Linked DNA regions of Drosophila melanogaster. The protein of the gene in region 3 interacts with the protein of the main gene of each other region in a pairwise test. Each region holds a gene or a part of one and is shown on either strand. Other genes may lie near its edges. The genes, in order: heca, CG34453 and CG6023.

What was found.
Region 1: the proteins of CG6023 (region 3) and heca interact in a two-hybrid assay, tested with the Drosophila melanogaster proteins (one large-scale study listed by BioGRID).
Region 2: the proteins of CG6023 (region 3) and CG34453 interact in a two-hybrid assay, tested with the Drosophila melanogaster proteins (one large-scale study listed by BioGRID).

Annotation. Positions count from the first base shown.
Region 1 is NT_033777.3:30,275,603-30,280,199, forward strand, and holds the start of heca (headcase), read left to right. Parts: upstream 1-2,329; 5' UTR 2,330-3,341; coding exon 3,342-4,597. UniProt on the Drosophila melanogaster protein: Required for imaginal cell differentiation, may be involved in hormonal responsiveness during metamorphosis. Involved in an inhibitory signaling mechanism to determine the number of cells that will form unicellular sprouts in the trachea.
Region 2 is NT_037436.4:231,651-235,981, forward strand, and holds CG34453 (uncharacterized protein), read right to left. Parts: upstream 1,702-4,331; coding exon 1,673-1,701; intron 1,615-1,672; coding exon 1,475-1,614; intron 1,423-1,474; coding exon 1,198-1,422; intron 1,141-1,197; coding exon 1,007-1,140; 3' UTR 830-1,006; downstream 1-829. Other genes in the region: CG34454 (uncharacterized protein), read right to left, coding at 184-242, 310-652; E(bx) (enhancer of bithorax), read right to left, coding at 2,649-2,854, 2,918-3,002, 3,332-3,695, 3,760-3,864, 3,929-4,331.
Region 3 is NC_004354.4:18,313,519-18,318,115, forward strand, and holds CG6023 (uncharacterized protein), read right to left. Parts: upstream 2,384-4,597; 5' UTR 2,215-2,383; coding exon 2,064-2,214; intron 1,819-2,063; coding exon 1,499-1,818; intron 1,419-1,498; coding exon 972-1,418; 3' UTR 606-971; downstream 1-605.

The DNA.
Region 1 (4,597 bases), on a different chromosome or scaffold from region 3:
TGGCTTAGAGATCGGAACTTAGAGGCAGTAGCCTAATATAGAAATAATTATGAAATTTCATTTCATTTCATACATAGGTTCATACCTAATTCCTAATTTAAAAACATAACTTAACGACCTGGCAACTCTTTTTTCGGCCCCCAGGGTTGCAGTCCTGCATTGCCATTAATTATGCAAATTAAACTTGATGCGTGTCGCCGAAGAATTATGAGCTCAGCTTTTGCCCGCGGCTTCAGACTCTCTCCTCTTCTCTTCTCCCTTTTCGCTTTGAACACATGCCATCTTCTTCTTCTTATTATTATTATTTTTTCGTTATGCATTGGTCATTAAAATTAGGTCAGAGTCGAAGAGAACACAAAGCGAAATCCTTGAGAATTATAAAGCGGCGATGACAACAACAACAAACTAGTTCGCCCCTCCTTTGTTCTTTTACCCTCTCCACCGACGATCCTTTAGCTAGAACAACAAACAACCTATACATACATAATTACATACATGCATACCTAAATATACTCGTACGTACGATCCTATTACGCAATGGCTGCCGATCTGCCTACCTGACTGACTTAATTATTATATCAGAACCCTCTGGTTCTCTCCCTCCTGCTCGCTCTTCTTCTACCCGGCAGGTCAAAATCGAGAGAAAAAAATGGAAACTGCGCAGTTTGACTCGAAAATAAGTGGAATTGGACCTTGACTTTGCACCGCAGTTACCAAAAGAATAGAACCCCGGATCCTGAGATCCTGAGTCCTATAAGAAAACCCCATCTGGTTGCGAGATCCCTTCCCTTTACCACTTTTCGTTCTACACGTGCCTGTTTTTTGCCATTTCTACCGCTTCTTCTTATTCGTTTTCGCATACTTTTTTTTTTTGCAACACAGCGGGAATTTTTATATGTGTGTATGTACATATATACACAAAGGCGAGGATACAATAAAAAGGCTCTACGTTTGAAAGCTTATTTGGGTTTTGGTGGCAACTTTAATACCCTACAGTCAAAACACAAATAAGTAGTCATAATACAAAAGTTACCTGCGATATTCGTAATCTTAGGACTAATATCAACAATTTAACTATTACAATTATTCATACATATGTACATACTTGTTTCAATTGAAAGCAGTAATAGGTCTGCGTATTCAAGTTTTAATTGGTTGTTTTAATTCAAGGTAGGGTATCTTCAACTCTTTTTCGTTCAATGTTTTAATTCTCTTCCTTTTTGTCTCTGCCACTTTTATTGCCAGCACTCGCATGCATTCATTGTATTTGTATTTTTGTGCAAATGTGCTTGCGAATATATAGGGGATTATATAGATACGTTTGTATGTAAATATATAACAGCAATCGAAGCGTGCGACAGAGAACGGCAGTTCCGACAGAGGGAGATGGAGACATCGAACGGCATTTCCACTTCCACTGGAATTAAAAGATTAGCCACGGAAAGCAAAAGTGCGCTGCAAGTTCGAGTTCCAGCGACTCGGCAACCCTGTTTTCATGTTGTTTACTTTGCCGGTTTCTGGCACAAACACATATGCACGCTCCATGCATGTGGAACAGAGCCAACGCGCTCGACGTTCGCATGGCAACTGCAGTCGAACATGTTGGAGGGGAAACGACCGGCTTCGAACTTGATTCGAACCAGCTTCGAGCCGCAACGAAAGTGAATTTTGGCGAATCATCGAGAGCTCCTAATTGTAAATGAAATGGATGTAAAATCTAAAAATTCTAATAAATAATTAAATTTAGATTATTTAATAATAATCGAATTCATTTAATTTTGGAACCAAAACATAGGGAGAAATATATATTCCTTTTTGGCTATAAAGTTAGAAACATGTTATTATTATTCTTATTAGTTTAAAGAAAATACGGCTTGATAGAAACATTTTCTATGGAAATGAAGCTTATTAACAAAAGTCTAAACTCCTACATATATTTTTAAGACATTTAATCTAATCAAGTATGTAACTGCTATCAAAAGTTCCGTTGTAAAGTGGGAAAATGTACCAAATTCTGGCCTACAGTGGAAAATTCTAGTGAATTAGACACTTTTTTTGTAGCCCCTTCCGCAATTTTCCCCCACCATTTCTCATTTTAGCGCCAAAAATCTGTTCAGTTTTCCACCGAATGAAAAGCGAGCGGTTGGCGGCGGTGGTGGAAAGTGAAAACCAGCCAACCACCACCCACCAACCCCGAAAAACGGAATGAAGAAGTGCGGAAAATCGGAGTGGAGGAAAACTCCAACTTCGCTGCCAATGCCAAGCAGCGACGCCGGCAGCGATGTTCGACGCGCGATGTTCGAACGCGGCGAGCAAGCACAGACCAAAAACAGTTTGAATTTCGCTTTCGATCTGGTTGGTTGTGTTTTTTGGCTTCTCTCTGCGTGCGCCGCTCGTGGTGGGAAAAAACGGAAAACAGGAGAACTAGCAAAACCGAATAAATCGAAGAGGAACACTCCAGTTTACAATTGTCCTGCGACTAAAAACCAATCGGAAATTTACACTATCCTCTAATCCTTTTTGTTTGCCGGCAAAAAAATAAGAGGCGCAAAGAAATAAACGCAGAAAGCGAAGCAAAATGTGAAAAATTGCCGAACATGGCGCCGCGTGTGTGAATGAGAGCGAACGATCGTGTGAGAGGGAGATAGGGACGAAGCGAAGATAAACAATAAAAAAAAAACAATTTTTGATACTTAAAGTTCTACAACAACAATAAACTCAGCTCAGGTACAACAACAAAACAGAAAATTACGCAAAACACAACAGACTGCATTGACGGGAATTTTTCGAAGTATTTTTGATACACACAGCAAGGAGGTGTACAATTTTTAAAGCAATAAGTGAAAGCAATTACCCATCAAGTTAAAAATAATACCAATCTCGGTAGAAACCCACTCGGAAAATCCAACTGAAAACAATTGAAAAAGGCAACCGAAAAGTTAAAACCTAAACAGACTAAATCGCTAAAATAACAAGCATTTACTATACACAAAAAAATTAAATTCCGTATAAAATCAGACTTTTGTCTGCAAAATTTCTAAAAATTTACAAAAACCCACTAAAATTCACGAAAACTCACTGGATCTGCCAAAACCATCAGTTGAAATATATTCTGGAATCGGTTCAAAAATAAATAAATATATGCCAGCAGCATTTATATAGACCGCAAATCGCACCATAAAATCGCGAAAAAATCAACAAGCAATATTTTGAAATTCATAATCGTTGGCAAAATGCTGATTCGAAATAGAGATTGAGGATTCTCGAGGACAGCCAACCCAGCCAACCAACCAAGTTTTTCGCCGCAACGAGTGCATATTAAGAGGAAAAAACACAAATTTATGGCTCCGCGTCGCAACAGCAACATCAGCAGCAGCGGCAACAGCACCCAGCAGCAGCACCAGCAACAGTTGCAGCAGCAGCACCAGACGCAGCAGCATCAACTGCTGCAGTTCTACGCGGAGAACGTGAATTCTTCAGGCGTCCTAATGGCGCCCATGCAGGGAACCGGTGGCGTTGGCGGCGTTGGCGGCGGGGGCATGGTCCACTGCTGCCTGCCCAGCGGAGACTGTCGCAAACTGGACACCCTGATACACCTGAACGAGCTCTCCCTGGCGGACTGCATCCGTGTGCTGTGCAACAACGAGAACTGCAGCGCAGGCCAGTACATGCATCGCGAGTGCTTCGAGTGGTGGGAGGCGAGCGTGCTGCAGGCACTGAAGGCCAACGGTCGTGCTCGATCCTGGTCGGAGCGGCAGCGTCTGCAGCACCTGTGGACCAAGAAGGGCTACGAGCTGGTCCAGAAGGCCTGCAGCTGCAAGTGCGGCAGGGGACAATTGCGCAAGGACCTCGACTGGGTGCCGCCGAGCAGCCAGGGCGTCATATACCTCAACGGGTCTGGCAACCGGCCCACTCTGGCCAATGGCAGCCTCAGCGAGGACGACGACAAGAAGAAGGCCAAGAAGAAGAGGAACCGCAACAACAACAACAACAACGGCGGCGGCGGTGGTGGTGGTGCTGGTGTCAATGGCAACACCAAAACCCCCTTGAGCAACAACAACGGCAACAGCTACGCCGGACTCACGCCCAATCCCAATGTGGGCGTCATAGGGTCGGGTTTGCCCCACAACAACGGCAACACCGCCAGCAATGGCAGCAGTGGCAACAACGGCTCCTCCGGCGTTCTGCAGACCAGTGCGCTGGCCACTTTCAGCAACATCCTCAATACGAACAATGTCCTCGGCCTGGACCTGCGCGCCAGGGCTGGCAGCCTATCCTCCAGTGGAGCTGGCAGTGGATCCACCTCGCCCTCGGACTCCCAGTCCAGTGGCGAGATATCCGTGTCGCCGGTGCAGCAATTGCTGCCACAGCAGCAGCAGCAACAGCAGCAGTCGCTGCTGATCCAGCCTCTGGGTCCAGCTTTCGGCAGCAACCTTTTGCAAAATGGATTGGGCTTGTCCAAGAATCTGCTGATTGCTCCCCAGCAGCAGCAGCAGCAGCAGCTGCAACAACAACAGCAGCAGCAGAATAACCTGCCTGCTTTGGCCAATATCAGCAACTTCAAGCCATTGGCCAGCTACGAGCAGCAGCAACTTGT
Region 2 (4,331 bases), on a different chromosome or scaffold from region 3:
TTCTACAAGTGCGTCAAGGTTATCTTGATTGTTTTGCATTAGTATGTATTTATTTTATTTATATTATTTTGCGTTGTTATGTACTGCGTGGCGTCTTATCTCTGTGCCATAATAATATTTAAACTGAAAATATCTTAGTTGGAGTATATTAATCTATTACATTAAATAGCTGGTTGTTGCATATCAACCTCGCGTCATCGCAAAAAGACCCTCACAAGAACCTCTTCGAACTATTTGAATGTCTAAAAACGAATAGTGAAGTATATTTTCGATTAAAAAATAATAATATAATGGATATAATGGACTCACCAGCTCCACAGAAACGAGCACAATTAAATTTTTCCTCGTTCATATAAAGCTGCATATTGCTGCCGCAAATGGGATTGTATTGCGATGTGGTGGGACAGTTACCAAAGCAGTTCAGAAATTCCTTGGTTGGGGCCGGTGCTGGTACAAATGGTGTAAGACCTCCTGGTATTCTTACATTGTTAACCAAAACTAAGTTTGCGCTGGTGGGCGAAATTGGTATTGACGTCGTTGCGGCGGCATTGTTCCATGGGCTACGAGATGTTTCGAAAATTAAAGGTTCTTGGGCTGCGCCCAACTGACTTAAACAAGCAAAAATAAATATTGGATGCCAATTGATGCACATCTTTAACTGAATCCTGAAGCTTATAGTCGTATGTGCTTTCGTTCGCTGATCGAGGGAAACTGAACCAACACAAGAATCAGCTGCACTAAGCATAAGGAACTTCACATATACTGGAAAGTTTTAATTCAGTGAATCAAAATACAAAGTAGTAAATAAGATATGGGAACGCCACTGAATACAGGTTTCTAAAGCAGTCAATCGTCTGGAAAATCCAGTTCTGTACGATGCCCGCTATCAATTTTAAGTTTATTATCATGTGCTTATATTTGCAATAATCTAGGGAAATCCCAGATTTGATTCATCAAAAATATGGGTTGGAAATGACCAACAAGAAACTTTAAAATTCGTGATGACTTATCCAATAATAATATTATAGTAAGGGACTGCTGTAATTCGAGGGCCAGGCATGGAAAACGCAGGAGAAACATATTGCATAGAACGCTCCAGCTTTTGGTAGTTTTTCGAAATAGCTGCGAAGCCAATGGTAGCTGAAAATCTCTTTATATTGTTGTACCCATACAATTAAATGTAGGTGCACTACTTACAGCTTGAAGTGGAAGGCACATTAAATGGTTCTGCACTCCATGCATCAGTGCCATTCTGTACCATTTCTTGCTTGTAATCTGGACTCAAGGCTCTTTGTAAGCATTTTCCCATATGGATGCTTTCCTTAGTTCGCCCACAGCGACAGACGGCCAGTAAAGGTTTGTACATCTCCGGAGATACGAATCGCGATTCGCCTTGGTTGTTGTGCACAAAAGGGCACAGGTCTATAGGGTAGAGTATGTGAGTGCACAATTATAAACCTCTATGTAAATATACCTTTTAATTTTAGCTGGTTACTTAGTTGAGAATTAATCTCAGATTGGTGGTAGAACTTGTTAGTTTGCTTGCCCGAAATTTCGCTCCAAGCTTTTGGAAAACTACGACGCGAATTGTGCTCCATGCGCACTTGCTCCTTTCTAAAATTGTTAATAATATCTGCTATTCATATTTTAATAAGATGTGCTGAACTCTTACAGCTTTCCAATCACTTTAGCAGGTTCCATCGTTTTATTATGTTTAACTAGTCAATAATTTTGTTTAATAAACCCGTTTTCTGCGCACGCTCGCCATGGCAACCAGTTAATTAGTATTTTTATACCCATTACTCGTAGAATAAACAACTTCTGGACAGTCTAGTAACGACTACGTTATATAGTGACATTTGCAACCGAAAGAAGACTTTTGGGAAAGTTCCATGTATAACTGCTTTAAAACTGAGAGACTGGATTGCGTAGAAACTGACGGACGGGCTTTGTTATGTCGCATCGTCTGCTGATATTGATCAAGAATATAGGAATATAGTTTGTGATCATAAAGGGTACCTTCATTGCGAAGCAAATTTCGGACTGTTACAAAATATACCCTATGCAAGGGCCTACAAAAATTTCAATGCAGATCAACAAATGAGGATTTTGTTGTTATTTTAGTGCAAAGAATCCGTCTAATAATATTAATAAGCTATTTAAGGTATATTTTTGTTTTTGCTGAGTAGGTGTGAATTTAAAAGTCCAATGAGCAGTAAACAAACCAAAGACTAAATAAATGCAAGTTATTTTCAAAATATGCTGAACATTTATTATAAGCTTGTATTTTTACAAGTTACATACGCCTAAGTTTAAACCTACAGCATATGATAAGGATATCAAATGAAATGCATGCTGTTTATTTACACTTTAATGTTTTGTACAAAGGGGGTTTTACTTAATTATTTTTAATCTTACAAATGTCTGGTGAATATGAAATTTATTGCATACTGGTGTACGTTACTAAATATGGTCAATATGTACATAATTTATTATAATTAATTATATGTGTTTTTATTGATAATATATGTTTATATAACATTTGATTCAAAATAAGAATACATAACTGAAGGACGTTTTTCAAATTGTTAGAAGTGTCTTTATAAACTATAATCATTTGTTCTAAAGTTTTCAAGGGCTATTATTTCTTATGTTCTTTGGTCAAAAACATTTTCGCGAAAATTTTTAATTTTTTGCACAAAGTATGACTCTAGTGCTTCAGCACACTTATAAAAGGATGATTCTTTTGGGTTATAGTAACGGCAGTTGTCAAAAATTTTTGTCATATCGCCTATAAACTCAGATAGTTTGGTATAGGTGTTTGATTCGAGTTTAATTTCCATCCGTTTGAGATCTATAGAAAAAAATATCCCCATTTTATTTATTTTCGAATAAATTTATTTTTTGTGTTACATACCCATTGGCTCTTTAATCACTTTGTAATAATCGGGTGCTTCCTTCGGATCAACCGGTTCCATAAATGGCCAAGCACTTTTGTGTAACTGTAGGGAAATTTAATATTTATTCCATTTTTGATGTGCTACAGTTGAGAGTTTTTCGTTAGCCAGAAATGAATGTGAAACGAATGAACGAATTGGATATTTGATTCACTTGGTCTTGAACTTATAATACTTTCGTTCTGTTCGTTACTTTGTAATATTTTTTCAACAATTTTACAAACATTACCGTATTTTAACATGTTTGATGCCATCAATATATAAACGATTTGTTCGTTTATCTAACACAGAATAACGATTCCCACAAAATTAAATTTTATTTAATTAAGGTCCCTAATAATAAATAAAAATTATTATGAATTTCAGGTTATTACCTGCATCTGCTTAATTAAGTTTTTCAGCTCTTCAACGTCATTTGAAGTCAGTTTCTTCATATTTGCAGCGTTAGCATCGTTTTTGCGTTGGCATTCAGGGCAAACATATTCATCAATAAACTCTGCTTCGCTCTGAAGTATTCCAACGCAACGGCCATGAAACCAATCCTGGCATTTATCACAGCATATATAAAATTGTGACTCGTCGTATGGTTGACGACAGCTACAGTAAAGCTGTTGCGTTTCTCTCGCCCTCTTGCAATCAATGCAAATGAACTCCGATAGTTTTTTAGAAGCTTCCTCGGTAATACTGACACAATCCCCATGGAACCAATTGCTGCACAAGTCGCACCCCACGTAAAACCTACATAGACACAATTACAATATATTAATTAAAAGCGCGTTAAGAATATGCATTTCTGCATTACTTTGTGTCATCATATGGAGTACGGCAAATGCAATACAACTTTTCCTTTTTTCTTGTCAACTTTTTTGGTCGGCCTGCGCCATGTCTGGGGTTCTGCACCTCTGTCCTACGATTTGATTTAGGTATTATTAGATATATCATATTGCACACAAGTGCATGAGTATACGTACCGTTTAAAATCTAAATTTGGTTCGCCACTTCTCTCATTTTCGCTTTGTTCATCCGGTGAAGCGTTACTTAAGGGGCGTACATGTCTTTGGACTTTAGTTTTTACATCTTCGTGTATTTCGCTTTGTAAATTACGCTCTAATAAGGAACGCTTGCGCAAAATATTTTTTTTAAGCAATTCTTTATGACGTTCCAATTGCGATTGCTTTTGCTCTCCAAGTTCAGCGACTTCGTCATTCTTGCTCCGATTTTTTTTTAAAATTCGATTAAATTGGCTGCTTGTTGTCATAGCATTTGGGCGTCTTAAGGAAGTACGAATTTTCCATTCAGTGTCATCAGTTTGGCGACTGGGAGTTAGTGCTTCCTCATTCACACTGCCCCTTGAGCATGTTTCCCACTCATTCG
Region 3 (4,597 bases):
TTGCCCGACATTTTGCCTAATGGTCCATGAGTCACAGCCAGACGGCTGTACGGTACTTGGGGTTTTCTTAACAGCCGCGCTGTGGAAAACCTCGAACCGATATATATGTATGTACATACATCTATCTATGTATCTATCTATCTATCGGAACGTGCCCCGGGCACGAGCTATAAACGACAATGGGGTGGGTCAGGGCAGGTGACGAGTCGGGCCAAAAACGGAATCTCGCGCATACTTCCCCAGTATTTCCGATTTGGGGGAGTGGTAATTGGGTTGCCAACTTCAAGCATTGGAGGTCATAAACCCGCGAGTCCCCAAAAAAAAAACAGTGAAAAATCAAAAAACCCTAAGTATTAAGCGATTTACTTAGCTAGCTATGCAATTGAGAATTATACTTTGAACTCTACCTTTGATTTGTTCCATTTCCACTTGTTTCAATTCATGGAAACATCTTATGACCACCCATGCTTTAATCGATGTTGTAGACCTTCGAAAGGTTGGCAGAATTCCCACCGTTGACTAAGCCCCCAATTCGTTGTAACTTAATTTCATCTGAATGATGAAATTGGTCAACCAGAAAAGAAAAGCACTTCACGTATGCGCCTATCGGTATAATTTATTAATAGTCATTGTAATATTGTAAATATATATAAAAAAAATACACTTAAGTAATAGTTTTCATAAGTTATCGAGCCTGCGATGCGGTGAATGTGTTCAGTGAGTATGGTGGTACGCGTATGTATATAAATAGGATGCAAAGGCGATATAAATACGTATGAGGGCAATGGGGATTTAATAAGTTATAATAAATAATAGGGTCTAAGGCAGATGAGGGTGTCTAGTAGACGAATACGGATCTGGATACTCGTGGGCATAGCCTATTAGCTTGAGATTGCAGTGGGTCATCGGAGGCGATTATTTTTGGTATGGCTTTTACTGCTCCTCTGGAGCGTCCAACTCTGTCCAGCGGATTACTGATACAGCTTGATCAGCTGCTCGTACTTGTGCTCGATGATGGTCAGCACCTTGATGGTCTCCACGGCGGCGCCAAACATCGGCCATATGTGATCGGCATTGTACTCGGCGTTCCTCGGATTGCAGGCATCGTTGAGACCGGCGACCTTGAGAGCCTCGTGCATGTTGTGATGGAAGAAATGCACGAAGTTATTGAAGTAGCAGTTCCAGGACTGGTGATCGAACACAATGATCTCGTATAGATGCTCCAGGACCAGCAGGGACTCGATAATGGCCGGCATCTCCTCCTGCAGCGTTGTCACCTTGCCACTGTACACAAAGTCACCCAGCTGGTTCTGGAACTTAACTTCCTTGACCTCCGACTGGAGCGGATGCTTCAATGCCAGGGAATGCAGAGAGTAGGAGTGAAGATCTTGGGGCAGGGTGTGGTTTTGATTCCTCAGCTGTTTCGCAATGAAAAAAAATGGGAAATGGGAAACTTAGTGCCTCTGCTGCCGCAAGTCCATCGTTCTAGCTAACTTACCCATTCTTTGGTCAGACAGAGGACCGCCTCCCGCGTATTCTTGGCCACCTCGAGCGCCACTTGCAGGTGTTCGATATTGGGAGTCATTTTAAGGTCCGTGCACTGCTCCCTGCCTTCAGTCTGATTGGTTAACAGGGGCACGATCTTGGTGCTTATTGACCTGGTGTGCTGGTGGTGATGGTGTAGTCGTGCGTGATTGCGGTGCGGCAGAATCAGGCTCAATCCTCGAGCGCGACGCGGTGCGGCAATTGTCCCCGTTGGCCAACTAGTGGCGACTGTGAGTAGCAGCAGGATGCCCAGGAGCCAGCACTTGGAGGTAGCTGCAATGCAAGAAGATGGAAGGTCAGTAAATAGGATTCATACAAAGATGTTCAAAAGATCTCCCTAATCCTGATGGATGCCCAGGCTTGGCCAATAAGATAATGATGATTGAAAACTTCAATGCCCAAGATCCCTATCATTTGATGAGCACTTTCCTGTTTGCCCAGCGATGACACAGTTATAGATACAAAGATACAGATAGAGCGACATGATTCAGAGGCGCTAGATCTTAATGCACACTTACAAATGCGACCGATGATGTTGGATTGCTGCTGGCAGGACGCTTTTGTCGCCGCCGGAGCACTCTGCTCCTGCTCCTGCTGCTGCTGCTGCTGCTGTAGTCGCTCCAAGAATTGGAGCTCGAAGGATTCACTGGCACTGCTGTTGGCGGTCATATTTTGATTTGATTTGTGATGTTAGGCACACACGGTTCGGAGAGTATGTCTTATTGGTTTTCGATATTTGGCCAAGATTCAGATTGAAAGCGCGCTAAAGAGCTGGATAGCTGGATAGCTGGAGAGCTGGGGCTGGCGTGCGGGCTCTGCGAGATCTTACGGTTAATGAGGAGTTGGGGCACACGCCGGCGATTTAAATACAAACCGGACCGCCATCCGGCGATATCAGTAGCCGAAGCCGCACGAGCGGCGCAGCGCGTGGCCGAGCTTACTTTTTTTACGCACACACACACATACACGCGCGCGGGCGGCGGGTACTCACACTTGTTGTGCTCGTTGTAGCGACAAGTGAACAACAACAACAGCAAGCAGCAAGAGCAGCAATAGCAGCAACCACAGCAGCAGCAACGGCAGCATCAGCGGCCGATGGTCGATGACGATAATGAATCAAAAAAACAACGGCCCGCAAAGGGAGTTCGAATTTGGGTTTTCTCAATTATCGGAGGTGGGGGTGAGTGGGTGAGTGGGTGGGTTGGCTTGGCTTGGCTTGGATGGGCTTCCTGACTCAGCCGGGGATTAGCTACTCCCTGGTCAGTAGTTCATGCCGCTGTTGCAGCGCTGCACATGACGTTTTGTTTTCTTCCTGTCTTGCGGCAAATGAGTTGCCAACCGTTGTAATTTATGCACACACGCTTCATGGCCCAAAACGGATGTCGCATTGCATTCTTGCACCCTACACCAAGTAATCGGGCATCTTGGTTGCCAACTGGCATTAGGCTGACCTTACAATCGCAACATTGAATCCTTATTTAAATTGCCTGCCTGGAGGACGACGACTGCAAACATTTTAGTTTAGCTCTGTCTATGAGTGGCTTTTAGTCACTGTTTAACGACACATGCCAATTGCTCTGTTTGTTAGCTGATTAATACATGTTTGATAGATTCTTGGAATTTGTTTGGTATACATATTCCAAACTCAGTGTTCAAGCTAACAGAGTAACACCCAAAGCAAAAAGCTCGAGGCAACATTTTGACAACAAACACATTTTTTATGGGGAATTTCACTGTTCTTGTACGAAATTTGATAAGCCTGATGCCTGAATACTGAGCTTTCCGGAAATTGTAATGGCTATATGTAAATTCAACATTGGTCTCAATGCCCATCAGGCTGAATTAGCCAAAGTGGAATCGCGTTTACTTTGATTAATTTGCGAATATCTCGTGTCTCTTAGCTGCTGTGGCGGCGGCGTCACTTCGGATTCTTCAGTTACTCGATTTACTGTATTTACTTTAACTAAGTGGCGATTTATGATGCGGGTGCCACTTGCCTGGCAAATGACGCGTCGTTCCGTAGGCATTTCCGATCGATCGCTTGGCACGTGCGCGTTTTGCATGCAACTGACTGGCAATAGCCACTTGGCCGCTGGCCGCTGGCCGCTGGTCGCTGGACTTGGCCAATTGATCGAGCACTGGGTATAAGAGACACCGGCAACCGGCAGACAGAGTGTCTGTCTCTTCTATGGCCAGTGCACAGTAGTGCACAGTGCATCGAGCAAGCACATAACCTAGCCCAACATGGCACTCACACTTTGACATAGCAATTACTCATAAAGACGCACGTAGTTCAACCCACTCATGGGACACAAAGCTCATGGGAGTCGTATTCCCTTGTCGAGTTTTCTGCGTAGTATTTCATCAGTTGGGCAAATTTTTCGAGCTTTGTTTTTACCCAATTGCTCTGGGCAGATCCATAATTGCCAACTTTTCCGGAATTCGAGCTGGAGGCCATGTCCAAGGGTTTTCCAATGCAGTTTGCCCGCTGTCAGTCCAGAATTGCATTTGTTCAGCGCTAGATGGGTGCCTTCTCCTTTTGATTCGATATGTATTGATTTCCTCCTCTTTATTATTATTATAATTTATTTTTTTTTTTTTTTGCGCCCATCCAGGCATTGTTGACTGTTAATTATCGCACTCGAGGAGGTGCTAACTTTGGCCACGCACTAATCTCGGCCTGAACTCGCTAAACTTGCAACGTCATCCGGTTTGAGGGAGATCCGCTATCTATCGCTCGTTCCTGTTTGCCATTCCCTTTTTAGAAATGACCATTCCATTGATGAGCTCTTCCAGAGTGACGTACGACAGTACTTAGTACTCAGCGTAGTAAAAAGCTGCAAACATCCCACACTTACAGCGACGGAAATATCGCTCAGACTTATCGCCTCAGCCAGGCATATAATATTTAAATTTAGCAAATATACCACCAAGATGCACGTGTAAGTTCATTGTGTAAGTTCTCGTTAGCCAAATGCACACGCGACAGAAGATAGTGTTTCCTTCAAAGTTACATTTTTCATAAAGTTACATTTGTTAACATTAAACAGAT